7 linked regions of the Sus scrofa genome follow. The protein of the gene in region 7 interacts with the protein of the main gene of each other region in a pairwise test. Links are inferred from orthologs where the notes say so. Each region holds a gene or a part of one and is shown on either strand. Other genes may lie near its edges.

Region 1 (4,017 bases), on a different chromosome or scaffold from region 7:
GACCTGTCCAGCTCCCACCCCCACCCCACCCAGTGCCTACCCAAAAACTTCATGTCATTTGAAGGAGGAAAAGACTCTGAGTGGAGGTGGGGAAGAAGTCAGACAACATGAAGGGCAAAGACCTCCTTCTGACAGACTTATTTTAGGGCACCGGGCTGCATGCAGCTGACGCTTGGCATGACTTTGGTAGAAGTGGGGGGAGGGGCTAGAAGTATGGGGAGCTGTGTACATTGCAGGGAAATATTGGCCAGGCTGAGAACGAACAGACCTGAAATCCTGAAATGAGACAAGGAACCAGACTCAAGGAAAGTCAGGCTCCCAGCGCCCACTATAGTTTATTTGTGAACTGAATGGGGAAAGAGTGTCAGTCCAAGGGGAGATCAGGGGGTTCCTCTTCATCAGAATCAAACTCAACATTCTCATCTTTTATCCATCGACCTTGTCCATCTGGGATCCATCCAGAACTGGAAATATCAGAACAAACAGAATCGATCAGGAAAGGAAATGTGTTAAGAATTTAGTAGCGGAGTTCCCTGGTAGCTCGGTAGTTTATAGATCTGCATTGTCACTGCTGTGGCACACTTCTGCATGCTGTGGGCATGGCCTCCCGCCCCCCCCAAAAGCTAGTAGGGATAAGTAATATTTGAGGTTTGAAAAAAGGAGAGCCAGAGAGAAAAGGGACAATCTGAGGAAAGTGATTCCGTACACTCACCTTCGAAGGGTGAGATAATGATCCAGAGCCCGTCTTCTTGTGGGGCTCATAGGTGCAGGGGATGAGACAGTGGCTGATTCCTTGGTTTGTGATGCAGCCGCAGGCTCAAGTTCCCTACTGATCCTCTCACTTTGGGATTCAACCTCTGGGGGTGAAAAAGCGGAACGAGAGACAGAGGGACGAGGGGCTTCTGGTCTGGGTAGAGAAGAATCAAAGTCTGTAAAAGCAGTAAAGGAAAGGACCAAATCTCCTGTAACTCCCAACCCCTTAAAGCAGTGCTTCCTAAACTGTATTCCTCAAGATATTAACAGGTGTTCTGCATAAAAAGGATTTTGGAATCAAATGAACTTAAGGAAAGCCTAAGTTAGTTTTTTCAGCTTTTTTTTTTTTAAGACTGTGTAGAACCCTGAAAATATACTGTTACTATTCTTTTTTTTGGTCTTTTTAGCGCTGCACTGTGGCATATGGAGGCTCCCAGGCTAGGGGTGAATGCAAGCTACAGCTGCCAGCCCTTACCACAGCCACAGTAACATGGGATCCGAGCTGTGTCTGCAACCTACACCACAGCTCACAGCAACACTGGATCCTTAACCCACCAAGCAAGGCCAGGGATCAAACCCTCATCTTCATGGATGCTGGTCGGGTTTGTTCACCGCTGAGCCATGATGGGAACTCGTAATATTACTATGCGTCAAACAGGATTACAAAATCCTATTTCCCAAACAAAATTCTTTTTTCCTGAAATTCAAGTTAGCATTTCCAGAACACTAGTATTCCTCAGAATCCAATTTGGAAAACAGTACTTTAGAGCGATCGATCTCCTGTTCCTCCCTACTTCTGGATTACCCACCCCACAGACCTGTTCTTTCGGCGGCAGCAACTGTTATAGTGAGGAGCTCTGTGCAGAGCACTCTGGGTAATAAGTCGAGTCTGGGTTAACAGAGGAGCCTGGCATGGAGATGGGAGACAAAGTCAGAACCTTCAGAGCTAGAAAGAATCCAGAGCCTTCAAGCCTAAGGTGTGCAGCCTGGAACACACCCTCCCCTCTCTGATTACCTCTGCTTTGGTCTCTTCTCTCCTCAATTCATTCTGTTGTCTTGGATTTGGCTCCAGGCCCTTTCCTGGGTGCTTCTTGCCATAGAAAAGCTGCAGGCCTCAGGAGAAAGGGAAAGAGAATTAAAAGGAGGGCACCCAGAGTGAATAAACCCTTTAAGGGTTTATTCTCTATGCTCTGTCTTCCCACAAACTTACTGGACAGATGTTTCTTGCCTGCACGGTGGGCAGTCAACATGGCCAGGGTGTCCAGTACCGGTCGGTGAGGACAGATGGCACAAGCAAAGCTAGAGAGGAGGAGAGAAGATAATTGGTTCCTGGGGAGTGGAGTCTCTGCCATAGGTTCCACCACAGCCTAGAACTCCTTTCCAAAGCCCAAATCCCAAGTCTCCCAGTCTCCACCACCAACATCCCTGTTACTCACTCCCCGCCAAAGATTCCTTGTTCTTTCCAATCTGCTTAATAACAAAAGTTTGTTGAGCCTCTAACCGCAGAACCCCCAGGCTTGATCCACTCCTAGTCCTCACCGTCCATCCCGTAGCATCAACGCCTCATCCTCTGGGATGTAACTCGCCAGCAGGTCCCCGACTCTCCGTTTCTGCAGGGAACAAGGGAAGAAATGAGGACGGGGTCAGCTGGATATGAGGGAGGAACAAAAAGGAAATGACAAGGACGAGGACTCAAAGGGAATAAAGGCCACAAGAAGGGTAGAGATCTGGGCTGAAGAAGGGGTGTCGGCCCAGTTCCAATCGTCTGGCTTCCTCCGCCCCCCTCCCCCGAGTTGTTGCCACAGCAACAAAACAGCTCCCTCACAGCCTTCAGACGGCAACTGAAGCTGCTCCAGATGCTCTCCTCTCGCGCTTACTTTGAGCACATTGAGTTGACTCCAATCGTCCCCTTCCCTCTTGAAAGACATCACGACTGTGAGAGCCCCAGAAATATAAGTTTTATCGCGCCGCGTTCGCCACTCCTTTCAGGCCACCGTAGCAAGAGTGGGACGTCTCCTTTCTTTCCTGTCTCTTTCCGGTTGGCCCCCTTACTTCCGGGATGCGCTTCCACGCATGCGCCGCGCGATCCCGAAAACCCGCCTCTAGCCCATAGAGGGGACTGCATTTCCTATGGTGCTCTGCGACCCCGCCGGCGCGGAGCCTTTTGGGAAATGAAGTCTTTTTTCAAAGAGCTTGCCGCCCTGCCCGATTCAGGCCCTTGCATCTTGGCAGATTAGAGGCGTTTGGAGAAAGAGGAACCTAGCTGTGGATCCCGAGTTTGAGAGTGTGACTGATTTGATGCGGAGCGTACCTTTGAGGATCTCTCAGGGGAAAGTGTGCTACAGATTCTCGCGGTCATCACGCCCTTCGCCTGAGGCCACAGCCCACCTGGAGTGGGCCTGATTAGTTCCCGACCCTAGCGACCAAGCCCGGGACGCGCGGAATCGGGGTTGGGGGCTGGGAGGTCTGGCGGACCGACCTGGGGGCAAACTCTGTAGTGTAGAGGAGGGTGTCTAGTGGTCAAAGGTCAGAGGTCAATGTCGCGAGTTGTGGGGGATCGAAAGTCGGAGGGGTACTAAGGAGAAACTCAGGTAGGGACTGAACAGTCAGGTTACAGGTTTGTGGGAAAAGGCCTTGGAAGGCGGGGAAGCCAGGAGTCAGAGGTCGCCTAGTGGGGGGAAGGCGGAGAGACTTAGGAGAGAACACAGAAAGGGAAAGGAATCCTCCAGATTTTCATTCCCAGACCCCGGGCCTGTCACTATCGGTCACTTGGCCGGGCCTCCCGCAGTTGCAACTCCAGTTGTCCGCAGGGTGAGGAGATGGCCTCTCCCTCTAGACAGGCCCCCCTCGGGGGGTCAGGACTGCTTCAAGGGAGCCGGGCTCGTTCTTATGGAAGCCTTGTGCAGTCTGCCTGCTCCCCGGTGAGGGAAAGACGCCTGGAGCATCAGTTGGCGCCCGGAGACACCCTGGCTGGACTAGCACTCAAATACGGGGTGACGGTGAGTCTTCCAGGATTGGGACGCAGACACTCAGAAAAGATTTATTCCTCATGAGGATATAGTGGCCCTCTGGGCAACTTCACCTGAAATTTTCCTAATTGTGTCTAAATTAGTTAATTGTGATAAATTAATTGACAAGGGTCCCATCTCGTGTTGCACTGTCTGGTTGAGACAAATCCTGTCTCAATATCCCGGTGGAGGTGAGCAGCTCTTATTTATTATACCAGTCACTATACTAAAGACTTTACATCCATTAGCGCATCTG
Region 2 (4,078 bases), on a different chromosome or scaffold from region 7:
GTTTAACCGTTTGCAAAACAGATCTTTCCTCTCTGTGGTGGCCCTTCAGTGCTCGACCTAATGGATTACTTTATTAATAATGCACTGTGCTTAAAAGCAAAAAAAAAAAAAAAAAATTTTTTTTTCTGACGATTCAATACTTCAGAAAGTCTCTTAAACCCGTTGCTACGGCAAAGCGATTGATATTTTATTATCTTTCAGAAGTGCCACATGAAAGCCCGGCAGCCCAGCAGAGCCAGAGCTTTGGTCCTTGGCAGCTGGCGGACCTGGCTTCAGCCAAAGGAGCCCTGTCCTCTTCCAACGAGACGCCGTCAGCTGGGGGAGAGGCGTGGGGGTGGCTAACAGGAGCCTGGGTGCCGTCCACCGCTCCGTGGGACACACTCCCTGGGGGGCCTGGGGACCGGTGCTGCCACCCGGCCCAGACCGCCCCCTGCTGGGTGGGTGTAAGTACGAGGAAGGAATTAGGCAGCAGGTCTGGTGGGGGGGGTAAGTGGATCCAGAGCCCACGGAAGGGGCCACCTTCAAGGTTTCCTGGAACCAGGAGGTGCGAGACTCCAGTGAGCAGAGAGGCTGCTCGTGGAAGACAGCTGGGCAGGACACGGACCAAGCGGCTCCTCAGGGCCCTGGCCAGCCCCTTCCTTGGGTTGTGACGGGCCCCAGAGCTCAGTGACGTCAGCAGTACTGGTCACCACACTGCTGAGACTGGCCAGGGTGGGGACCATGGGGCTGGTGACAGCTGGGGAAACGCCTATGCCCAGAGCGGTTGTCTTGCTCTGACCCCGGAGGCGGGAGACTGGCTGAAATGACCTCCGGAGGGCCACCCCCACCCGGGCTCCTCCGCAAACCTTTAGCCTCACAGAGCCCGCGGCACTCGGGGGCGCCCGCACAGAGCCTGAGCTCCGAGACCCGAGGTGGCAGGGGCCGGGTTGGCCCCGCCAGCTGGAGACCAGACTCCCTGCGGAGGTGCCCAGGTACAGGCCTGGGGAGCCAAGCCCCTCAAACATCCTTACTAAAGACACCCCTGATTTCCACAGGCTCCCCCGACAAGAGCAGCCCCAGACACCAAGGAAGGACCCCCGTGCCAGCTTCTCCTTTGCCAGCAGGGAAGGTGAGGTCCAGAGCAGGGCATGGCGGGGCCGCTGTGACCCAGGGCGAGCAGAGAAAGGAGCCAGTCCTCCTGGTCCCACCTGGCCACAGACCGCTTCTCCTTCTGATCTACACTCAGCTGCCCCAGCCCTGCCCTCTGACAGCCCCTGGGGCCCAGGAGAGGGTCCGCGAAGACAGACAAGAAGCCGGGAGACGGCCGTCACGCCCCCGCCAGCCCTCGGCAGGGGGCCTCTGCCGACCAGAAGCATGAGCTCCCATGCCCTCTCTTTCTACACACGTGCCAAGAGACGGGCCCACCGGCCACAGGGCAAACCCCCATGCCACCCCCAGGCCCTCCCCGTTGGAGGTCTTAGAAGGTGGCACAGAGGCTGGGGGCATCAGCACGTGGTGGCAGCAAAGGGAACATCCTGTGTGACCTTAAGCAAGTCACTTAACTTTAGATTTCCACCAAACGCCCATGTCAGGAACACCTTGATCTGGAAGGCAGAGGGCCCAGACCGCTACGACGCACTAGCAGGGGTCAGAAGACGGCCACCACGGCCACCACCACGTCACTCTAAGAGGATCCCGCTGACGCCCAGAGGACCCATCTCGGTTTCTCACCAGCAGCTCACAGGTAGTGCGCGGGGGTCCTAACAGGTACCGCCTATCTCCCAACAACACCGACAAACCAGAGATCCGCACCTGCAGAGCGGGAGGGCCTGGGACAGCCAGGAAACGGCCCCTCTCCTGACCCGGGGTGGGGGGGCTGCCCCTGAGTCACAGGCACCCACTGGTTGTCCCCTCAAGGGAGCTGGGTCCCCAGCAGCTCCTGCCAGACGTACCAGGCCAACTGCTGCACAACACTGCAGTCAGGAAGGCTTTGGGGTGAGCGGGACCACCTGCTAGTGGCTTCCAGCCACCGCGGGCCCCTCTGTTGTGACCTCTCAGGCGCAGCGAGGCTCTTGACCGGGTCAGGTCCACGCTGCTGCTGCGCGCGGGCTACTGCCAGCGGCAGGGCACTTCCTTCCCCCGGGCCAAACTCCCGCCTCCGCGCTCAGGAGGCAGGGGGCAGTGGGCAGCCCAGGAAGCGTCCCCTCTTCTCTCCTAGCTTTCGGGCGGCCGCCTCCCCTGGGGGCCGGCCCGCCTGCCCCTCCCTGCCCGGCACCCCCGGCGGGCGCCGTGCTTCCGCGCACCAGCTCGCCGCGAGCTCTGGAGTCCGGTCCTCCTGAAGCCACCGATTTGCTCGGCGCTCAGCGCCTCTCGGGTTACCCGGCCGGCGCGAGGCTGATGGCTGCGGCGAGAGGCGCAGCCGCCAAGACCAACCGCTCCACGCGAAGCCCCACTGCGCCGAGATCCGAGGCGCCGGAGCCTCCTCGCGGCCCCGCGGAGCATCACACGGCCGGCGCGCGGCTCGCCCGCCTGCGGCCCGGCCCAGCCCGGCCCCGGGGCGCGCAGCCCGGGGCTCCGTCGCCTCCCCGCCCAGTCCCCCTCGGCCCTCCCCTCGCCCCCCGGCCCCGGCCCCGGCCCCCCGCCGACCGCCAGCCCGGCAGGCTCGGCAGGGCCGGCGGGTGCGCGCCTGGGTCCCGGCGTGTGTCCCCCCCGCCCCCCGCGCGCCGTGGAGCGGGGGCGGCGTCGCGACCCCCGCCCGCCACCTACCGTCCTCCTTGTCCAGCACCATCATCTCGGGCGCTCCGTGTCCAGCCGCGGCTCGGCTCGGCCGGGAGAAGGGCGCCGACGCCGGGCGCGCTTCGGCGGGGCGGCCGGTCCTCGGGCGGGCGGCGAGCGGGCTCTAATTACCCGCTTGTCCGGCTCTTAACCTAGATTGCACTCAGCTAGAATTACATTCAGGAGTGAAGCACTTCGCGGATACAAAAGCAGTCTCACCTACTTTTGTGCCTCAGAATTGCAAGGAACTGCGAACTGCAATTTAGAGAGAGAGAGGGAGAGGGAGAGAGGGGGGGGAGAGGATCAGAGCCGTTTCTTTGATTCTCACCTTCTAAATGGCTCAATTTGCCCAGTATAATCTGTCTTAATGTAATTGCATTTGATAGCTCATAACCCTGGCTCTGGCAACGACACAGCTTTCAGCCTCATAAAGTGTTTTCCCCTCGGATTTAATCTGAATCTCAATCTAAAATTATATTCAAAGAGATGGGGGAATCTCGGCGGCCGTCTCCCGCTGCCTTTCTCCCTCAATGTATGAGGTTTGCACTCCAGCTACTGAATAAATGCACACATTTCCCGAGGCCCCCTCCCTGCCGGGTTAATGGGGAGTGGAGACGCGCGGCTGCCCGGCTCCGCAGCGCCACCTGGAGGCCCCTCGGCCCCAAATCGGCGCGGGGCTCCGCTCTGCACCCCGGGTCCTCAGCCCCTGTCTGTCGTACCCAGCCCCTCAGCCTTGACTTCTGCCCCGCCCGCAGCGGGAGCCTGTTCTCTGACCTTGTACCCTCCCTTTCTGCCTCCTCTGCCTGGGATTTCTGGGTGCTCCTGGATTGCTTGGCAAAGTTAACCCTCTGCAGGGCGCACATCCCCCCCCCCCGCAGCCTCACAGCACCGCCCCTCCCCCCGCGCCCCTCCCAAGAAGAGCATCCTCATTCCACAGACGGTGGGATCCTGCCTCAGCTTCTCTCGGAGCAGGCACAGCAGGGCTCTGAGGGCTTCTCTTCACTCCACAACTCTTCACTGAGCATGTATTATGCGCCAAGCTCTACTCTAAGGCACTGCGGATACAGCAGTGAAAACAGACTCCTGCTCATTGCGGAGCCGACAATTCTTGCTCTGTGCCTCAGGAGGCAGGGAGGGAACAGGGTTCACCGCCTCTCCTCCTGACCCCCGCTTCTCCCCGAGAGCCCTGGGGCGGGGGCCAGGCTGCCTACTCCACGGGCCACTCTCCAGTGGCAGGAGCTTCTTTTCTTCTGGACAGTACAGAGTTCCGGGATGGGAGGGAACTCTTACTGGCTTTTCTCCAGACCAAGGAAGGCTCCAGATG
Region 3 (3,500 bases), on a different chromosome or scaffold from region 7:
TGGGAACCTCCATATGCCGTGGGTGCAGGCCTAAAAAGACAAAAAAAAATTTTTTAATTAAAATATAAAGGAAAGGAAAGGAGTTCCCTGGTGGGTCAGTGGGTTAAGGATCTGGCATTGTTGCTGTTGTGGCTTGGGTTGCTGCTATGGCACAGGTTCAATCCCTAGCCTGGGGAGCTTCTGCATACCAAAAAGAAAAAGAAAAAAAGAAAAAAAGGAAGGGAGGCAAATTCCTTTTTCACAACAAGAAAAACTGAGTTGCCTTTCTCATCCACATGTCTTGAGAAGGATTTTTTTTTTTTTTCTGCTCTGTCACTGGGCAACATTACCAGATGAAGGCTTAAAGACAGAACAAAAATCTGACTTGGCTCCTTGACTAGGAAAGATCAGGAAGCCGAGGGTGTGACTGGTACTCCTCATGACAATACCCTGTGACACCACACTGGGGACCCTAAAGGCAGACCTGCCCTTCCTACCCAGGGTTACCGTTTAGGCTGTCATCGGTAGCTGCTGAGGGAGACTCCTCCAGAGGCCCAGCCTCACTCCATCTGGGCGGGGATGAGAGCTTGCCGTCCCCGACTGTCGAAGGCAATGACTTCGGAAAGGTGCCGGGAGTGGAAATCGATGCTTTGTGGGGGGCTGTGTCATCTGAAATGTGAGTCTGTGGGGAACAATTTCTTGAGCCAGTGCTGCGAAGGATCCCATCGGCTGACTGTGAGGTTGGCACACGTGATGTCCAAAATGGCTTTGAACTGGAAAGGTCCTTACTGGGCAGTGAAAGGACTCTTGGTTGAGTTGGGGTCTGATCCTACTTTGGAGGAAATTAAGTGAAATTACCAAATGTACGACACATCTGTCCTTATCATTGGACACCACGGCTGGTGGGAAGCATGAGACTAACTCCTTGGTGATCAAACAATTATCCTTCTCTGCTCCTATCTCTCCTCTCCCCCCATTTCTGGAAGTCAAGGTACAACATTTAGACAAGCTAACACTGAGATTAGAAATACTCCACAAGGGAGTTCCCTGGTGGTCTAGTGGTTATGCTTTCACTGCTGCAGGCTGGGTTCAATCCCTGGTCTGGGAACCCAGGCCCCACATCAAGTTATTGCATGCCATGGCCAAAAAAATTAAAAAGAAAAAAACATACTCCACAAATAATTAGGAATATCACTTTGCTTTCAAATACATACCGTTAATTACACATTTTCTAAACCAGGTTCCCTTAGTACGTGATCTATGACTGCCTGGATCTTCAACAGAGTCAAAATCAATATACAGATTTTTCCCTTTTAGAATGCAACCTTCCTAGAGTTCCCAGGTGGCACAGTAGGTTCAGGATCTGGTGTTGTCACTGCTGTGGCGCAGGTTCAATCCCTGGCCCCATAACTTCTATATGCTTTGGGCATGGCCAAAAGGAAAGAAATCTTTAAAAGATTAAAAACAAAACAAAACAAGACCAATGGAGTTCATGTCGCAGCTCAGCAGTAATGAACCCAATTTGTATCCATGAGGATGTGGGTTCAATCCCTGGCCTTGCTTGGTGGGTTAAGGATCCACCATTGCCACGAGCTGTGGTGTAGGTCACGGACAAGGATCGGATCCCATTTGCTGTGGCTACAGCTGTGATTTTCCCCCTAGCCTGGGAACTTCCATATGCCATGTGTATGGCCCTAAATAGACTAAAATAAATAAATTAATTAAAAAAAACCTACAACCGTCCCATCACTTCACACGCATAGGATGGCTATGACAAAAAACAAAAAACAAAACCAAAAAACCCCCCGGAAAACAAATGTGGGCGAGAATGTAGAGAAACTGGAGCCCTCATACACTGCTGATGGGAAACAGTTCATCTGTTCCACAACAAGTTACACATAGAATTACTATAGGACGCAGCAATTCCACTCCTAGGTATAGACCCAAAAGAACTGAAAACAGGGACTCAGATACTTGTACACTAGTCACAATCACCAAAAGGTGGAAACAACCCAAATGCCTATCAATAGATGAATGGATAAACCAAATGTGGTCCACCCATACGATGGAATAATATTCAGCCATAAAAAGGAATGAAGCACTGATACACGCTCCAATGTGAGTGAACCTCGAAAAAATCATGCTGAGGGGAAGAAACCAGACACAAAAGGCCAGGTGTTGTCTGATTCCATGTGATTCCATTACATGAAATGTCTAGAACAGGCAAACCCACAGAGACAGAAAGGAGATAGTGACTATTAGGTTCTAGGGGAGGGAGAAACAGAAGTGATACTAGGTAAGGGTTTCCTTTGGGGATGATGATACTGTTTTGGAACGAGACAGAGCTGGTGGTTTGTGTAAGGCACTAAATGCCACTGGATTGTTATTAGATCAATTTTAGGTTATTTCACCCCAATTTTATTTATTTATTTTTTAATTTTGACCTTTTTTTTTTCTTTTTTAGCTATGGCATGCAGTGGCTTAATATGTGCCCTCAGTTCCCAGACCAGGATTGAACCCGGACCACAGTGGTGAAAGTGCCGAGTCCTAACCACTAGACCACAAGGGAACTCCCACCTCAATTTTTAAAAAATGGAAAGGCAGCCTTCCCAAGTTAGTGATTATTGTGTGGTACAACTGACAAGTAGGCGAGGATCACCAATAGCAGTGATCACTGCTGGTGCTGTCATGTGGTGTATATAGCATAAGCTCAACATATTGCAAAACTGTCTAATGTGTCCCAAATCCCGTCCCTTACAGAACAGACCAGGAATGGGTACCTGTGATGGGCTGAAACCCAACCTTTCCTTTGTAAACACTTTCTCAAGTAGCTTATGAGTGATGGCTGCCATCAGAGTCTCTAGTGGGAGTTCCCTTGTGGTGCAGTATGTTAAGGATCTGGCATATCACTGCAGTGGCTTGGGTCGCTGCTGTGGCATGGTTTCTATCCCTGGGCCAGGAATTCCACATGCCTTGGGCATAGCCAAAAAAAAAAACAAAAACAAACCAAAAAAAAACCTCTAGTGCTATGACATAAAGGTACAAATGCAAAACTTCTACTAAAAATAAATACAAGCAGGAGTTCCCTGGTGGCCTAGCAGGTTTAGGATCCAGTATTGTCACTATGGTGGCTCAGGTCACTGCTGTGGCATGGGTTTAATTTCTGGCTGGGGAATTTCCTCATGCCACAGGTGTGGTAAATAAATAAATAGATAGGGAGTTCCTGTCGTGGCTCAGTGGTTAACGAATCCGACTAGGAACCATGAGGTTGCAGGTTCGATCCCTGGCCTTGCTCAGTGGGTTAAGGATCTGGCGTTGCCATGAGCTGTGGTGTAAGTTGCAGACACAGCTCGGATCCTGCATTGCTGTGGCTGTGGTGTAGGCTGGCGGCTACAGCTCTGATTGGACCCCTAGCCTGGGAACCTCCATATGTTGCAGGAGCGGCCCTAGAAAAGGCAAAAAGACTAAATAAATAAATAAATAAATAAATAGATGGATAAATTGATAAGTAGACAAATGAA
Region 4 (4,013 bases), on a different chromosome or scaffold from region 7:
CCAAGGCCAGCAGCAGCCATGGGAACCACCACTGCTTCAGAGACTGCAGTATTACTCCGAGATTGAGTACCTAATACCAGGAAGCTCTGTCTGGCCCCTACCCTGGGCTCCTCTCCCGAGAAGAGCTTCATGGCCATTTTCTGAGAAAGCAGCCAGAAACACCGAGAGAAGCCAGAGCTGCCCATCGAAATCTTCCATCCAATCCCGAAATAAAATCATACCGGTAACTGCCTAACTTCAACACCCAAGCCTCTTGCAAAGATCAACGGCGATTGTGCACGAGAGCGCCCACTAGTGGCCGGCATGCAGCAGTGCTGATGCAGGAGTAACTACAGCAGAGCCTCACCTCCCTGCCCTGACTGTCAAGGAGCTCACACAGTACCTTCCATGATTCCTAGGGCCCAGGGACTTCACAGCTGCCAGGAAGATGAGAGGGCTTTGCTCACTTCTCTGCCTCAATTATACAGTCTTTAGGGTGAAGCTCATCCAGAGTCCTGAGTTGTCCCCATGCCCAGCCTGCAGGAGTTCAAGTGTGAGAGGCCTGGCTAGTGGCCAAGTTCTGGTGAAGACATCGAAGCCTGACAATGGAGAGTACAGGCTGCAGAAGAATCCAACTCTTCACACCAGAAGAGTCTCAGTTTTTACGTGCAAGCTTCGAGTGAGCCAGAGTAAAAGCAAAGTGTAGAACTCTGGAGTTAAGAGTAGACTTGAGACGGTCCAGGTATCTAGAGACTATACTCTTCTATGTTTCTAGCCAAGAGTTTGGACCTACTACAAAAGCCAAAGCCCACAAACTTGATTTGGTGAACAGATTAGGAATCAGAGTCAAGTGGACATACCTCCCCAAACTGGGGGCCTGCCAGGAAAAGGGGGGTGTTGTGCTTCATAGCACAGTCAGTTGCAGAACGATAGCCTTTAAATGGTATTTCAAAGGGTCATTCAGAGCTGCAAGGCCATCATCTTCATTAAAAGGACCCTTAGAAGCCTTACTAAGGGTGGAAACCTTCTCTAGTCTTCCCTGAACCCTTACTTCTTTTCTAGGGGAAGGCGCTGACATTCGAGTCCCCTCCGCGATTCCGGGGCCTTTACCTCGCTTGAACTCCTCCAGGACGGCGTCCAGCTTGGTGTCGTTGAAGACGAAGTGGAGTGGGTGATTGTAGAAGCGAGTGATGGTGCTGAGTGGCGTGCAGTCTTCGGGGTCCACGAAGGCCAAGTCCTTGAGGTAGAGCATGTCCACGATGTTGGAGCGCTCCTCCTCATACACGGGGATGCGCGTGTGACCGCTCTGCATGATGCTGGCCAGGACGCCGAAGTCCAGCACGGTGCTGGCGTCCAGCATGAAGCAGTCCTCGAGGGGCGTGAGCACGTCCTCCACGGTCCGGCAGGGCAGCACGCCCTTGCTGAGATCGCTGTAGGGGTCGCCACCGCCGCGCGCCAGCTCCAGCACGCGCTCCCGCAGCCGCCCAGGCCGCGCGGCTAGTTCCAGCAGCTGGCCCACCGGGAGCGCCACGGGCAGAGTGAGCAGCACCGCCAAGCGGCTGAGGATAAGAGCGCGCGGCGCCAGCGCCAACGTCCAGCGCCCGCTCACGGCAGCCGGCACCACCTCGCCCACCAGGAACAAGAGCCCCGCGCTGCCCAGCACGGCGGGCACGGCGCGCTGGCCAGCCGCGCGGTACAGTAGCACCGCCAGCGCAGCCTGAGCCAGGCTAGCCAGCAGCAGCAGCGCCCCGAGGGCGCAGCCGGCCCAGCGTCTTGAGGGCTCCAGACGCCGCGCCGCCGCACGCTCCGCCTCCGAGCCGCTCTCGCGCAGCACCTGCACTTCGGCCGGCGCCAGCGCCAGGGCGCTCAGCTGCAGGCCCCGCGCCAGAGCCGCCAGCGCCAGCAACCCCGCCGCCCCCAGACCCACTGCCCAGGGCGGGGCCGCCTCCTCGGCCGCCTCGCCGCCCGGCTCTACACGCACGGCTAACAGCGCCGAGTGCGGGTGCGCGGACTCAGAGCGCAGACGCAGCAGCGCACGCCACTCGCCCGTGGGGGCCGCCGCGCCGCCCGGCTCCCCACGCACTGCCAGCCGCGCGGAGTGCGGATGCGCGGCCTCCGCGCGCAGGCGCAGCAGCGCACGCCACTCGCCCGTGGGGGCCGCTGCCTCGTCTGGAGCTGCGACCGGCCCGCCCTCTGGGCAGCCCGCCCCCTCGGGGGCCACCCAGGACCAGGAGCTGTTGGCTAAGCCCGACCCGAAGAGGCGCAAGCGGAAGGTGGCCTCCGGAGCAGTCCGCACCTCCTCTCCTCGCGCCCACCCCGTGCCTGCCGCTCCGTCCTCTTCCAGACAGACGCCCAGCACTCGAGGACCCGGAGCCGCCTCCGCGGCGGCGTTGCCCAGGCAGAACGCGGCGAGCAACCAGCCTAGCCGACCCGCCGTTGCCGCCGCCATCGCCTGCTGCCCCCTCTCGGCCTCCCGCGCAGCCTACCCCTCCGCCTCCCCCGGGCCAATTATCGCCGGCCCTGGCGCTTCCTCCACCAATAGGCGGCAGGCGGGGGCGGGCCCCAGGGTCGGACTAGGCTGCGCCGGGGAGTAAACAAGCGGCGGCGCGATCCTGGGGCGGGCCGGGGGCGTGGGGCTCTAGGCCCCGCGGGGCTACACCGCGGCTCCCTGGGCTGGGGCTGGCCGGCTCCGGGAGGACGCGGAGCGGAGAGCTGGCCCCCATCAGCGGACGTCTGGTTTCCCCCGGCCATCCCCGCGCACCCGGAGGCCGGTCCGGGCTCTGGGAAGTGCCTGGCTCAGGATTCGGGCCTCAGAGCGGAGTGGCGCTCCTGAAATTGCAGGCAGAGACTTCAGCGAATGGGAGATGGGCAGTTTTCTCAGAAAGCGCCCCGTGAACCACAGACCTAAAGGGCAAGGAGGGCTTAAAGAACTGGTGACTAGGCTTCGGAAGCTAAGGTTTATTGAAGACGTGTGATTGCTCCCGACTCTGCTATTGGTCTGGGTTGTGACACACAACCCCTGTTTTAAAAGGAACTTGCATTCTTGCCAGGAAGAACGACAGTAAATAGATAAACACACGAAATCACTACCTCTTTGGATCCTTGCAGCTACTTCGTGTTATTAATATATTGCACGGGAGAAAAGTAGGACTCGACTTGGCACAGATATCGGGCTCCAATGCGACCAGCCTAGTACCCTGTTCACCATCCTAGCCGCTTTAGGAGATGGCAGCTCTGTCAGGAATTACTGTACCTGGTCGTCCCACTTCTAGCAGATCATTCTTGGGAAAATAATTCCTAAAGACAAACAAGTGTTCCTCAGCCCATTATAATGTCATCTTGACCTGGTTGGAAGGAAACATACAGACTGCTAACAAGACTTCTCTATAGGTGTGGAGAAAAAAGGGCTTTTTAAGAGATTTTCTTTACATTTGTATTATCAAATTTCCTAACACAGTAGACTGTGATAAGACCATCCATATACATGTCATTTTAAATAGTCTTTACGAGGATTCTATAGAAACACATTGCTATGTTCTGAAAATAATATAAGTAAGTGAGGCACTGTGGCTGCAATTAAGTAAAATAACGTTGGTGTGGAAGGTAATATGCAAAATTGAGTAAACCAACAGAAATACTGTGTGAGAATTTTCAGAATAAGCCGCCAGAAGAAGCAATAATACTACTGAGCTTTTCCACTGGACTGGCACACTTCTTTTGGAAAAAGGAAATAAACTCAACCCCTTTGGTTCACACTTCTGTCCCCCAGTCCAGAGAAAATGCTGACACAGTGAGAATGGATGACAGGCTTGAAGTGAGTCATGTGCCTGAAAAGTTAACTCACAAAGAACACTTCCAGAGGCAAGATGGGGAAAATGCCTAGTGCATCTAGACAGGGCTCTGACCTTTGACAAGTAACTTTTCCCTTAGTCTCTGGCTCCCTTAGAAAACAACCTATAACTTATTCTGGGGGGAAGAAGACCTTTCGGTAGAAGAAAACTTTTGAAAACTTGGATCACACTTGGAAAACACAA
Region 5 (2,794 bases), on a different chromosome or scaffold from region 7:
GAGGTCTGAGCAGGGGGCAAAGGTAGGGAGGCTGGGTGGCCTTGAGACTAGGAGGCCATGTCCCAGGGACTCTGCCCTGTTTGTAAGTGGGCTGGGCCAGTGGAGGCCTCTGAGGCTGCCTTGACCCTTGAACCCCAGGGGTGTACAGTCAAGCCTCCTTGGTTCCTGCCCAAGATGGTGAGCAGGTACCTAAGGTGCCCTGTGGGGTGGGGGTCTGTAGGGCAGAGCCTGGAGTCCTTCCTCCAGGGAACCCTTGAGCAAGTGCTGAGGCAGAAGACAATGGCATCGGGGGAGGGACTGGACAACCTGGGATTGTCCCAAGTCTGAGAGGAGCTGGAGATGGGACAGGAAAGTGGGTGGTGTGCTGGTGGTGGTAGAGCACGGGGGTCTGCCAGGCTGGGTGCTAGGTGGGCATCCAGCCCCGAAGCAGCATGGCGTACAGGGTCCCCAGGACGCAGGAGACTCCTGGCTGCTGAGGACAGAACACGTGGACACATGGCGCCAATAAAATCTCTTTCTTTCTTGTTTGGTCTCTTGTCAGTTTCTCCCGGTGAACCCATTCCACTCCCACGCTCCCAGAGAACCTTCCTCCCTCTGCCCTCCTAGTCTCAGACCTTGCTGGCCCTCGTGCCCTCTGACCTCCCATACGCGGACCCTCTCTAAGCTGACTTTCCTGGTTCTCTGACCGCTACACCTGTGCCATCCTCCCTCTCCCAGGTGAAAGCCCCTAACCCAAGTCCCCTCACTCTTTCCTCCCCAGGGAGGCAGGCCGAGGACGGCACCCTGGGCATCCAGTCACCTTGGCCAAGGCGTCCTGAGGATGGGGCCCTCCTGGCTCCTCCAGGGCTCAGGGAAGCTCAGGGTTCTGGAGACTCCCTCCACCCTGCTGGGGCCAGATCCTGGCTCAATACTGGATGCCTGAGCCTCACAAAGAAAGAGCCAGGCCCTGCTGCAGACCCTCCTCCAAAGTCAATGCTGATAAGCGGTCCTGAGAAGCAGCCACCCGAGGGCCATCAGATCCACTGGACGAGCCCCTCATCAGCCTCAGGTGCTCCTCGAGGCCACCACTGGTGAGAAGGTGACAGGGCCTTGTCCTGGATGCTGTCGTAGCTCCTGAAGGGGTGGCCATCTGGTGGGGAGGGCAGAGATGCATGTGCCTGCAGGGAGCAACACCCAGAGCTCTCCCCGGAGGAGGCGGGGCCCTCACTTACCTGGGGGCGGTGGCAGGGGCGGGGGGGACGCTTCCCTGGCGGGGGAGACCTGAGGACCCCAAGCACAAGTCTCAGAGATGGGCCCTGGGAAAAGGGGCTTGAAGACCAGCCCACCTTCTCCCCTTGGCCTTCCTCCTCCCCAGTGCCCCCATCTTGCGACTGCGCATAGGTCTCTGCCCACCTGCTCTCCCCGTTTCCATCTTTCCTGCTCCCTCAGGGTCCCAGGAGGCTCCATGCTCCGTCCTCTCCCAACAGGACCCCTTGCCTGGGGCGGGGCGGACTGGCTGCTACTCACATGCTGAGGGGAGCCTGGGAGCCGGGGCCCCCGGTCCTTGATGGAGCCACGATGCCGCTGAGAGGCTCGGGACTGCAGGGCTCCCTTCTCGGAGAGCGAGTGGGGGCTGGAGAATCCAGAGCTGGGGTCCGAGACAGGTACCGACCCCGGGCCGGCGGGGAATGGGCCCGAGGGCTCAGGTCCGAGTGAGCTCTGCACTGCGCTGAGGAACTGCCAGTGACCAAGACCTCAGGCTAGGACCTCCAAGCAGCTGAGGGACCCCTGCCCCAGAAACCCCTTAGCCTCTCACAACAGCCTGGGCAGACCTCAGGCTTCAGGCACCCTCCTAACCTCCGGCTGTGGGCACTTCCAGCTCTTTCTGTCACCCAGCAGGGGACTGACCTTGTCCAGGCCCCGGACATCTGCGATCCTGTGGTGGGAAGTGGCAGGTGGTGTGTAGGGATCAGCGTAGAGTGGGGAGTGTGGTGTCTCCAGAGAGTGGCCCGGGGCCTCAAGGCTGTCCTCCAGGCTTAGCTGCAGGCAAGAGACAGATGCGACAGGTTTCCTGGAACTGGAAGTGGCCTAGCCCTCCCTGCTCCATGCTGTAGGCCTCTGGGTAGCTCCGGGACCGAGACAGGCCAGGAAGGTGACGGGCAGGAGGGAGAGGCAGGCCCAGAGCCAGGGTCATTGTGCTGGGCCCACCTTGGTCAGGTCCAGGCGCAGTGGGGTGACTGGGCTGGGCCCCTCGCCCCTCGCCTTGCTCCTGGGTGATCGGCTGCTGCCGCCCCGTCTCAGCTTTGCCCTGTGTCCACTGACACTGGTGCCGTCAGGGTTGGCTTGCTCCTGCGGGGACCAAGAAATTTCCAAAAGTTTCCCTGGGGCCCTCTCCCACGTAGCCCTCTGAGGTTACACAGAGCCCCTGCAGTCCAAGTGCCCTCCCCTGAGGAGGTAGGATCCTAGTTGGGTTGGGCTCCCCCTCTCCCTCCACGGCCCACTCCCCTCCAGACACTCACCAGTGCAAGCTGGGCAGGGCAGTCTGTGGTAGAGGGCACCAAGGACTCAGGGAGGGAGTGGCTGGTGCAGGTGGAGGCGGGCGCCAGGCACCCTGAGTCCCAGCTGGTCCGTCCATCCGAGGAGAGCGAGCCTTGGCCACCACCCACAATCTGGGCAGTCGGTGGTGGGTGAGGGTGAGCCGACAGCACCTCTCCCCACGTACCCATGCCCAGACCCATCCTCCTGTTTCTACCACTGCCCGGGACCCCAGCTGTGGGGCAGCATCCCGCTGCTGCCAACCCCTCACCTGTGTGGG
Region 6 (3,500 bases), on a different chromosome or scaffold from region 7:
GACCCACTGAGTGAGGCCAGGGATCGAACCCGAAACCTCATGGTTCCTAGTGGGATTCGTTTCCTCTGTGCCACGACAGGAACTCCTTCTTTTTCTTTTTTGTCCGCGCCAGTGGCACATGGAAGTTCCCAGGCGAGGGGATCAAACTCAAGCCACGGCAGTGACGAGGCGCAGATCCTCAACATCTAGGCCACCAGGGAACTCCTCACAATCTGCTTTTTGATCACTATTATGTATCAGAGATCAAAGTTATCCTCGCCAACCAATCCCTGATGCCAGCGAAGGCCAGGTCCATGTGCTTTATCAGCTGGCTGGACCCAAAGCAGCTGGGTGGCTCTTGAAAATCAAGAAGCCTAACCAGGGCCCCTGGGAGGAGGGCATCCCTAGCATCCAGCACTAGGTGGGGCTGGAACTCCCTAGGAGAGTGCAAGTCTGCGCCAACAGAAAAAGAAGCAGATGACAAAGGGTGAGGTTGTATCCCTAGCAGCACAGCAGACATCACTTTTATCTGGAAATTATTTGAGCAGGTGCTTCCAATACACTGTGGCTCTTATGAAACCCTTTTCCTGATAGCATCTCCAAGCCATCAAGAGACTAATAAATCTGGCAACAATCTGAGATTGGGTTGGGCGTGGTTTTTTTGTTTTTTTTTAGGGCCAAACATGTGGCATATGGAAGTTCCCAGGCTAGGGGTCGAATTGGAGCTGCAGCTGTTGGCCTTCGCCACAGCCACAGCAATGCCAGATCTGAGCCACGTCTGCAACCTACACCACAGCTCATGGCAACACCGGATCCTTGACTCACTGAGCAAGGTTAGGGATCGAACCCGCATCCTCATGGATACTAGTTGGGTTCGTTACCTGAGTCACAACGTCAGGAACCTCCTAAACCTTCAACTGGAAAAACAAACAACCAACGCCCCCCACCCCGGAACAGTTCTGAAGCCTCCTAGGCTCTATTTAGTTCAAGCTGTTACATGACTAACTGTAAGAGGAAGTAATAGCTCACTTCCAGTCAAACACACAATGATTGGGAATCATAACAAGTGACCCTGGTGTGACTGTGGGATGGGGTTACCCCTTAAGAATAAACAAACAGGTTTTAGGAGTTCCCATTGTGGCTTAGCAGCTAACTCTTCCAACTAGCATCCATGAAGATGCAGGTTCGATCGCTGACCTCGCTCAGTGGGTTAAGGATCTGGCATTTCCATCAGCTGTGGTGTAGGTCACAGACACGGCTCGGATCCCGAGTTGCTGTGGCTGTGGTGTACGCCAGCAGCTACAGCTCCTCCTGGACCCCTAGCCTGGGAATCTCCATATGCCGTGGGTGTGGACAGAAAAAGACAAAAAAAAACCAAAAAAAAACCAGGTTTTACAGGGCTAGATACCTCCAGCCCTGCATCCTCCACGTGGCCAGCTTTTTGGCCCCTCTTGCCCAAGGTTCTTGAACTCCAAAGCGCCCAGGAAGCCAGGGAAGCAGAAATGCCACTCTACCCACCCTCCACCCCAGACACCTGCTGACGGCATTGGCCACAAGCTTCAGCTGCTCCTCCGCCTCGGCCGTCTGCTGCTGCCTCCGGCGCCGGGCCTCCTGAGCGCGGCTCAGCTCTATCTGCAGGGCCTAGGAAGGAGGCAGTAAAGAGAAGGGTCCCCTTCCTGGGGTGTCCCTGCTCTCCCCTGGCCTCTGCCTGTCTCAGACGCTGACCTTGGCGCTCATCCGCTCCACCTCCACCTCCGCGGCTTTGTCTTGCAGGGAGCGCTCCAGGATGGCCCGTTCCTGGCCCTGGGTTTCAGCTCTTTCCTGGAGCTCTGCCACCTGGGGGAGGACAGGAGGCAGGTCTAGACCCAAAAGCTGTAGGGGGGACACTGGGAAGGGGTCAGGGGCAGAGGTCTCGGAAAGAAGGCCGCAGAGGGAGACAAAGCTTGGGTTCCTGAGACTGGAGTCTGAGTCGGGATTTCCCTCCAGAAACATGGTCCCTATACCCACACCCTGAGGAAGCGCCCTGTGACCCACCCACAAGGACCCATGGCCTCTGTTCATGCCGCCCACCCATCCTTGAATGCTGTCGCCTCCTCAGGTGACCATCCCACCTAAGGCCGGCCCACCTCACAAAAAGTAAACCCCACAAGAGCAGGTCCTTGTCGGCCTCTGCTCAGGGCGGTGCAGCCAGCATGTGAGAAGCATTCAGTAGGTATCTACTGAATAAATGCCAGCCCTAAGGAACAAAGAGCTGGGGGAGAAGACGGGGAGAAAGAGGGTACCAGGCCACCTGTCCCTTCAGCTGCTCCACGCATCCTCTGTGCTCCAGCTCCTGGGCCTTCAGCTGCACCATGAGGGCGAACACCTTCTCCCGCCAGCGCTTCAGCAGGGCCTGGCACTTCCTGGTGAACTCGGGCTCCAGGCAGTCTGAAGGCTGAACCTGCGGGTGGAGGAAGTGGCGGGGAGTGTGGGCTCCTGGGGAGCAGAGGAAGCGGGTGGGTTTTGTTTCTTCTGTCCTGCCTAGGCCATTGGCAGCCACAGCAAGAAAAGGCATTCAGGGGAAGACGATGCTGGCAGGTTCGGGGAGGGGCACGCCAACCCCTCCCATGCCTGGGGTTGGGGACAGGGCAAGGCACCCAGGGGCCTACCTTGCGGGCCAGCTCCTCCTCCTGTATGCAGAGGATGTGCGTGAGGCTCTGCACGCGCACCTGCAGCAGCTCAGCCGTGGTGTGCAGCCCGTCCCGGTCCTCCTGCAGCTGCTACAGTGGAGTGGGGGTAGGGGGAGGGCAGCCGCTCTGTTGGAGCTCCCAGAAGCCCTCAGGGATGGCCAGTCTGGGCCCCGGTCACGGCACTGCCTTCTCTCCCCGGGGGCTGTATTCTGCTCCAGCGGCCCCCTTGCCCAGGACCTGAGCCCTCATGTCCCACCCCATGCCCAGCACTCTCTCACCTGCACAGTTTCTAGAAGCTCCTGTCGCTCTGATTCCCACGTCTGGCTGTGGACCTCGGGAGGAACCTGCTCCCCCACATATCTCCTTAGGTTCTCAGCCAAGGTCACCTGAGCCTCCAAGGCCTCTTGGGTCTTGCTAGGGTTGGGGTGGGAGCAGGGTAGCCATCAGTGGGGCACCCTGGAGACCCACCCCACCCACCAACTGCTGGACCCCCTCGGCCACCTCCCTACTCACCTCAACTGCTGCCGCAGCAGCTCAGCCTCCCTCTGGGCCGCAGCCAGCTCCTTGGCTTCCTCTGACCTCCTGGTTTCCAGACTACTCAGAGATTTCTCCAGGCCCCCAGCCTTGTGAGTCAAACTGGAAAGAGCCTCCTGGTGAGCCTGTGTCAAGGAGGAGAGCTGTGGAGAGAAGGGGGCGCTCAGCAGGGCCTGCTGGCCCACAGCTGGCTTCCCAAGTCCTCCTCCCGCCTCAGTCCTGCCCCTCACCCCCACTTCCTATGACCTTGGATGACGACCCAAGAAATCACCCAACGGCACACGACTGAATGGAGACCGTCCTTAGCGCCTTACTCCC
Region 7 (4,109 bases):
TTTCCTTATACTGTATGGAACAAGGAAAAGGGAATAACACTTACTGAATGACTACTATGTGATGGTGTGCTAATTGATTTCCATATTTATAGGCAATATCTTACTGAAAGGAGCTACTGTGTTTCTACCTGAGATCACACAGCCAGCAAGGGTTTAAAACCAGGATATCTGACTCCAAACTGCATGCTCATTCTAGCGCTTCGCAATGTCCAGATATTTTATTATGCATGTGTGTTGCTATCATTACTTTGCAGTGGTTCTCCTATGTCCCATCCCATCTTCTCCCCGGATGAATAAAATATAATTCTCTAGGGACAGTGACCCATGCCTTAGGTTTTTTTGACGTTCCCAGTCCTGGGAATTAGGACCACACATTTCACAACAAGGGGTTCGTGCCCATAAAAAGCTCCTGGAACACCCGGAAAGTTCCAGAGTGATCCCAGCGCCCAGAGCAGCCTGGCCAGGTTTCCCATGAAGAAAAGGATTGGTCTCCTCCCTGATCTGTGGGCAGTGCCCTGGCATGTGGATGCAGACCCAGGAGGTGGGAGAGGAAAAGGTGGGATTCCCCGTGGAAGAAGGGGATGCAAAGAAGGATGCAGGATGCAGGAGGGGAAGACTCATAGCTGTGGGGTTCTTTCCAAAGGCTTTATTAGCCAGGCAACCAAACAGGTTGGCCTCAGAGCAATGTGCTCCCAGCTGTGACATAAGTAGGATGCATTCATGCTGAGGGCCCAGGAAGGGCTCTGGGCACCAACATCTCCCGCACAGATGCCTAAATCCCCCCTGTGGTTGGGGATCTGTCCTTAGCATCAGGCCTGTCCTTCTCCCCAGCATCTCGTGTTTTGTTTTTTTTGTTTTGTCTTCTTAGGCCTGCACCTGTGGCATATGGAGGTTCCCAGGCTAGGGGTCTAACCAGAGCTGTAGCTGCCGGCCTACACCACAGCTACAGCAACGCCATCTACAACATACACCACAGCTCACGGCAGCACCAGATCCTTAACCCACTGAGCAAGGCCAGGGATCGAACCCACAACCTCATGGTTCCTAGTCAGATTTGTTTCCCCTGCACCACACTGGGAACTCCGACCAAGTCCATTAAAGCCCTGCTTTGGCAGCGTCACTGAGGGTTACAATCACAGAACATTCAGCCACCGGAGGTTCCCTTTCAGGCGTGTGAAGCTGAGAGGCCCCAGGATGCTGGAAGGAAAGACCAGCCACGCCACTAATTTTCAGACCAGGTGATAAGCCTGAGCCTCATTATCATATTTTTAAATTAACTCTGCTCCCGAGTGCCATGAGAAAGTCAATGTTGGTTTTCATAAATGCCAGCAGATAAGAGGATAATTCACAGGTCAATGTGATTGATCTTGATAGAATCATAACATTAACAGCAAAGAGGATAAAGATGTCATCTGCCATCCTCTGTGCTCATTTTTGCTAATTGTTGAACACGGAATCTTCTGACATCTTCTTCCTAAAGCTTATTCAAACTGGCAGAGGTGCAGGCATGGTCGGCAGAGTCCATAGCTTCTGAAGAACAAACCCAAACCCAGGGGACTGGGACAAGGGAACAGAGAGGGATGGGGGGCGGCAGGAGTGGAAGGGGGTCGCTGTCAGAATGCATCCTGACCTGGTGTAGGTCCTGCATCAATGGTCTGGCAGTAAACAGTGCCTTTAGGAAGTTCCCAGAGAGCGCTCACTGGGGAACTGCGACCCCCCCCCTCCGCCCGAACTGAATTGTTATGTACAAAAGGACCCAGGAGGGCAGAGAGCTTGGGCACTGATGGTTAACGCGCTGGAGGGAAAGAGCTCAGAAAGTACAAGTCCCTAATGTGAGGAAGAAAAACTGAAAATCAATAAGACCTGAAAAGACCACAGGGTGATAACAAACAGTGAGCCATAGGCATCTGCAATGTAACTGAGATGCGTGCCTGGCGGCTTGTTTGGGAGCCAGGAGGCCAGAGGCGCTTTCTGGCAATGCAGGGCTCAGGGCTGCTTGTGGCTGTTCCCTGCTGCGACGAATGGACTTGGTCTCAGAAGGAAGCAGAATGTGGCAGAGACCTGCAGGGAGCTCGGGGGTAGGCAGTAAAGATGGGGGGGAGGGGAGGTACCATGTCCTAAAAGCCAGGGAAGACGCAGCTGGCCTGTGCCCAGCCGGGGGCACAGCAGAGGAAGAGGCACTGACCTGGTTTCAAGCCTCCAGCTCCAGCCCTGCCTTACTAGTGGGGCTTCTGGGTTTCAATTCCTACACAGTCTCCCTCACGCTGCTTGGCCCCATGCCCACCACGTGATCACATCACACATCAGTGCTCAGGGCATCTCCCTCTCTCCCCCCCCAACCCCCGCCGTGTTAAGCAGATCGGTCCTTGCCCCGCCGCCAGCCATGCACAATCTCCTCTGGGGAGATCGAGTCAGCACACTGGTCCCTCACAGTCCTAGAGGTGGCCCAGTTCAGATCATCTAAACTTACAGACTACAGCCACACCACCCTGAACAAACCGGACCTGAACGCGCCCACATCTCATCTAAACTTAGAGACGCACCCTTCCCCCACCCAGGACTGCCGGCCTGGAGCATCCTGCTGAGGGTCCGGAACCTGACACAGGACTTGTGCGCAGCAGCAGTGCCTCACGTCCTCCGAAAGGCCAGGATGCCCAGGGGCAGTCAGTCCTGTTCCTACACAGCCCTGGACAGAGCTCTCTGGGTGGCTACCTCTACGCTGGATTCCTCCGCCCTACATTTCAGCCCCTCCGGCTGCACAGCCATGATCTTCCAGCAGGGCCTTAGGTGACTCTGAAGAAGCAAGGCTGCCCCCCCTTTGTGACATAGCCATGGAAACAATCCAATCAGGAGAACCCCTCCAGGGAAACGGCTGCTTAGCAGGCGGAGAGCTGAGAATCTCCAGCCCGTCATCCATTCACGGGCTTCCATTCGGAATCCTGCAAGCCCCGCCCCCCCATACTCTTGTCTTGGGCAAAAAGCAGGTCTTAATTCTCCTGACACCCCCAGATGACCCTGCACCCCTTGGGCTGAGTCCTAGGTTGTCTCCTCATGGGTTCAAGTCATATGTTTTTTGGTTTTGTTTTTTGTTTGTTTGTTTTTCTTTGTATGGCCACACCGGCGGCATATGGAGGTTCCCAGGCTAGGGGTTGAATTGGAGCTGTAGCCGCTGGCCTACACCACAGCCACAGCAACATAAGATCCGAGCCTCCTCTGCGACCCACACCAGTGCTCACAGCAACAACGGATCTTTAACCCGCTGGATGAGGCCAGGGATCGAACCCGTGTCCTCATGGATACTACTTGGGTTTGTTAGTGCTGGGCCGCAATGGGAACTCCAGGTCTTGCGTTTTTGATTCCAAGTCTCAGATCTCATTGTCTGCCAGCCACCTCCCAGGACCTGCCAGAAATCCAGAGAAGTTGCAGAACAGCCAACGCCAAAAGATCTAATTTTGGAGAGACTGGCTTATTTCAGAGTGTCACAGAGATTTCAAGGGGTAGGGCCGGAAGATCTTATCAGATCACCTAACAAGCTCCCTCCCCACCCCCCATTCAAGACTCAGAATGGCTTAAGTGCCCTCCCCCAGCCACACTGCTGGCTTGGCAGCTGCCCTACAACTAGAATCGGAGGCCTTGCTGGCTCTGCCTGCTCCATGTCCTCAGGCTAGAGTTTTGAAAGGGGAGGGTTATTCTGGCTAACTGAAGGGTTGCATCCTTCTGTGATTATCCCTACCTGAGGCAGAACCACATTGATTGGAATTTCTAGGCTTTCACATCTGGTATCTCTTTTTCTTGTAAAATTTGGCCTCGAGTGCTGCGGAAAAGAGAAAATAAATGGATTTCTGCTTCCCGGCCCCTTCTCTGGGCCTCAGATGCTCACCCAGAAAACAAGACTTTCTACTGCTCACTTATCCCTTCTTGCTAATAATGTACTTTATGAAAATCTGAGTCTGAAAGGATGTGAAAGTGATATCTGATAAGATATTTTACAGTTGATGGCAAAGCCTTCTGAAAGTTTTTGGAGTGGAGGTGCCTAAACCTACCACCTTTTCTAAGATTCTTTTTTTTTTTTTAAGGGCCGCACCCACAGCATATGGAGATTCCCAGAC

The links.
Region 1: the proteins of SPERT (region 7) and SCNM1 interact in binary tests that used the Homo sapiens proteins (3 or more experiments, as listed by UniProt). The two-hybrid records come from large-scale screens. The link is inferred for Sus scrofa from reciprocal best matches to the Homo sapiens genes CBY2 and SCNM1.
Region 2: the proteins of SPERT (region 7) and LMO1 interact in binary tests that used the Homo sapiens proteins (3 or more experiments, as listed by UniProt). The two-hybrid records come from large-scale screens. The link is inferred for Sus scrofa from reciprocal best matches to the Homo sapiens genes CBY2 and LMO1.
Region 3: the proteins of SPERT (region 7) and C2H19orf44 interact in binary tests that used the Homo sapiens proteins (3 or more experiments, as listed by UniProt). The two-hybrid records come from large-scale screens. The link is inferred for Sus scrofa from reciprocal best matches to the Homo sapiens genes CBY2 and C19orf44.
Region 4: the proteins of SPERT (region 7) and CNNM3 interact in binary tests that used the Homo sapiens proteins (3 or more experiments, as listed by UniProt). The two-hybrid records come from large-scale screens. The link is inferred for Sus scrofa from reciprocal best matches to the Homo sapiens genes CBY2 and CNNM3.
Region 5: the proteins of SPERT (region 7) and PLEKHN1 interact in binary tests that used the Homo sapiens proteins (3 or more experiments, as listed by UniProt). The two-hybrid records come from large-scale screens. The link is inferred for Sus scrofa from reciprocal best matches to the Homo sapiens genes CBY2 and PLEKHN1.
Region 6: the proteins of SPERT (region 7) and CCHCR1 interact in binary tests that used the Homo sapiens proteins (3 or more experiments, as listed by UniProt). The two-hybrid records come from large-scale screens. The link is inferred for Sus scrofa from reciprocal best matches to the Homo sapiens genes CBY2 and CCHCR1.

The regions. Positions count from the first base shown.
Region 1 is NC_010446.5:98,079,575-98,083,591, forward strand, and holds SCNM1 (sodium channel modifier 1), read right to left. Parts: upstream 2,801-4,017; 5' UTR 2,682-2,800; coding exon 2,631-2,681; intron 2,364-2,630; coding exon 2,293-2,363; intron 2,053-2,292; coding exon 1,964-2,052; intron 1,867-1,963; coding exon 1,769-1,866; intron 1,661-1,768; coding exon 1,572-1,660; intron 908-1,571; coding exon 713-907; intron 465-712; coding exon 365-464; 3' UTR 270-364; downstream 1-269. Other genes in the region: LYSMD1 (lysM and putative peptidoglycan-binding domain-containing protein 1), read left to right, coding at 3,573-3,752. UniProt on the Homo sapiens protein: As a component of the minor spliceosome, involved in the splicing of U12-type introns in pre-mRNAs. Plays a role in the regulation of primary cilia length and Hedgehog signaling.
Region 2 is NC_010451.4:1,048,365-1,052,442, reverse strand, and holds the start of LMO1 (rhombotin-1), read right to left. Parts: upstream 2,801-4,078; 5' UTR 2,771-2,800; coding exon 2,746-2,770; intron 1-2,745. UniProt on the Homo sapiens protein: May be involved in gene regulation within neural lineage cells potentially by direct DNA binding or by binding to other transcription factors.
Region 3 is NC_010444.4:61,095,143-61,098,642, forward strand, and holds part of C2H19orf44 (uncharacterized protein C19orf44 homolog), read right to left. Parts: intron 809-3,500; coding exon 487-808; intron 1-486.
Region 4 is NC_010445.4:56,809,317-56,813,329, forward strand, and holds the start of CNNM3 (metal transporter CNNM3), read right to left. Parts: upstream 2,801-4,013; 5' UTR 2,429-2,800; coding exon 1,090-2,428; intron 1-1,089. UniProt on the Homo sapiens protein: Probable metal transporter.
Region 5 is NC_010448.4:63,333,847-63,336,640, reverse strand, and holds the end of PLEKHN1 (pleckstrin homology domain-containing family N member 1), read right to left. Parts: coding exon 2,786-2,794; intron 2,649-2,785; coding exon 2,499-2,648; intron 2,329-2,498; coding exon 2,188-2,328; intron 2,020-2,187; coding exon 1,888-2,019; intron 1,717-1,887; coding exon 1,507-1,716; intron 1,261-1,506; coding exon 1,212-1,260; intron 1,130-1,211; coding exon 1,014-1,129; 3' UTR 501-1,013; downstream 1-500. UniProt on the Homo sapiens protein: Controls the stability of the leptin mRNA harboring an AU-rich element (ARE) in its 3' UTR, in cooperation with the RNA stabilizer ELAVL1.
Region 6 is NC_010449.5:23,548,110-23,551,609, forward strand, and holds part of CCHCR1 (coiled-coil alpha-helical rod protein 1), read right to left. Parts: intron 3,326-3,500; coding exon 3,162-3,325; intron 3,063-3,161; coding exon 2,927-3,062; intron 2,739-2,926; coding exon 2,628-2,738; intron 2,420-2,627; coding exon 2,270-2,419; intron 1,816-2,269; coding exon 1,705-1,815; intron 1,621-1,704; coding exon 1,514-1,620; intron 1-1,513. UniProt on the Homo sapiens protein: May be a regulator of keratinocyte proliferation or differentiation.
Region 7 is NC_010453.5:21,617,903-21,622,011, forward strand, and holds the start of SPERT (spermatid-associated protein), read right to left. Parts: upstream 2,801-4,109; 5' UTR 2,767-2,800; coding exon 2,713-2,766; intron 1-2,712.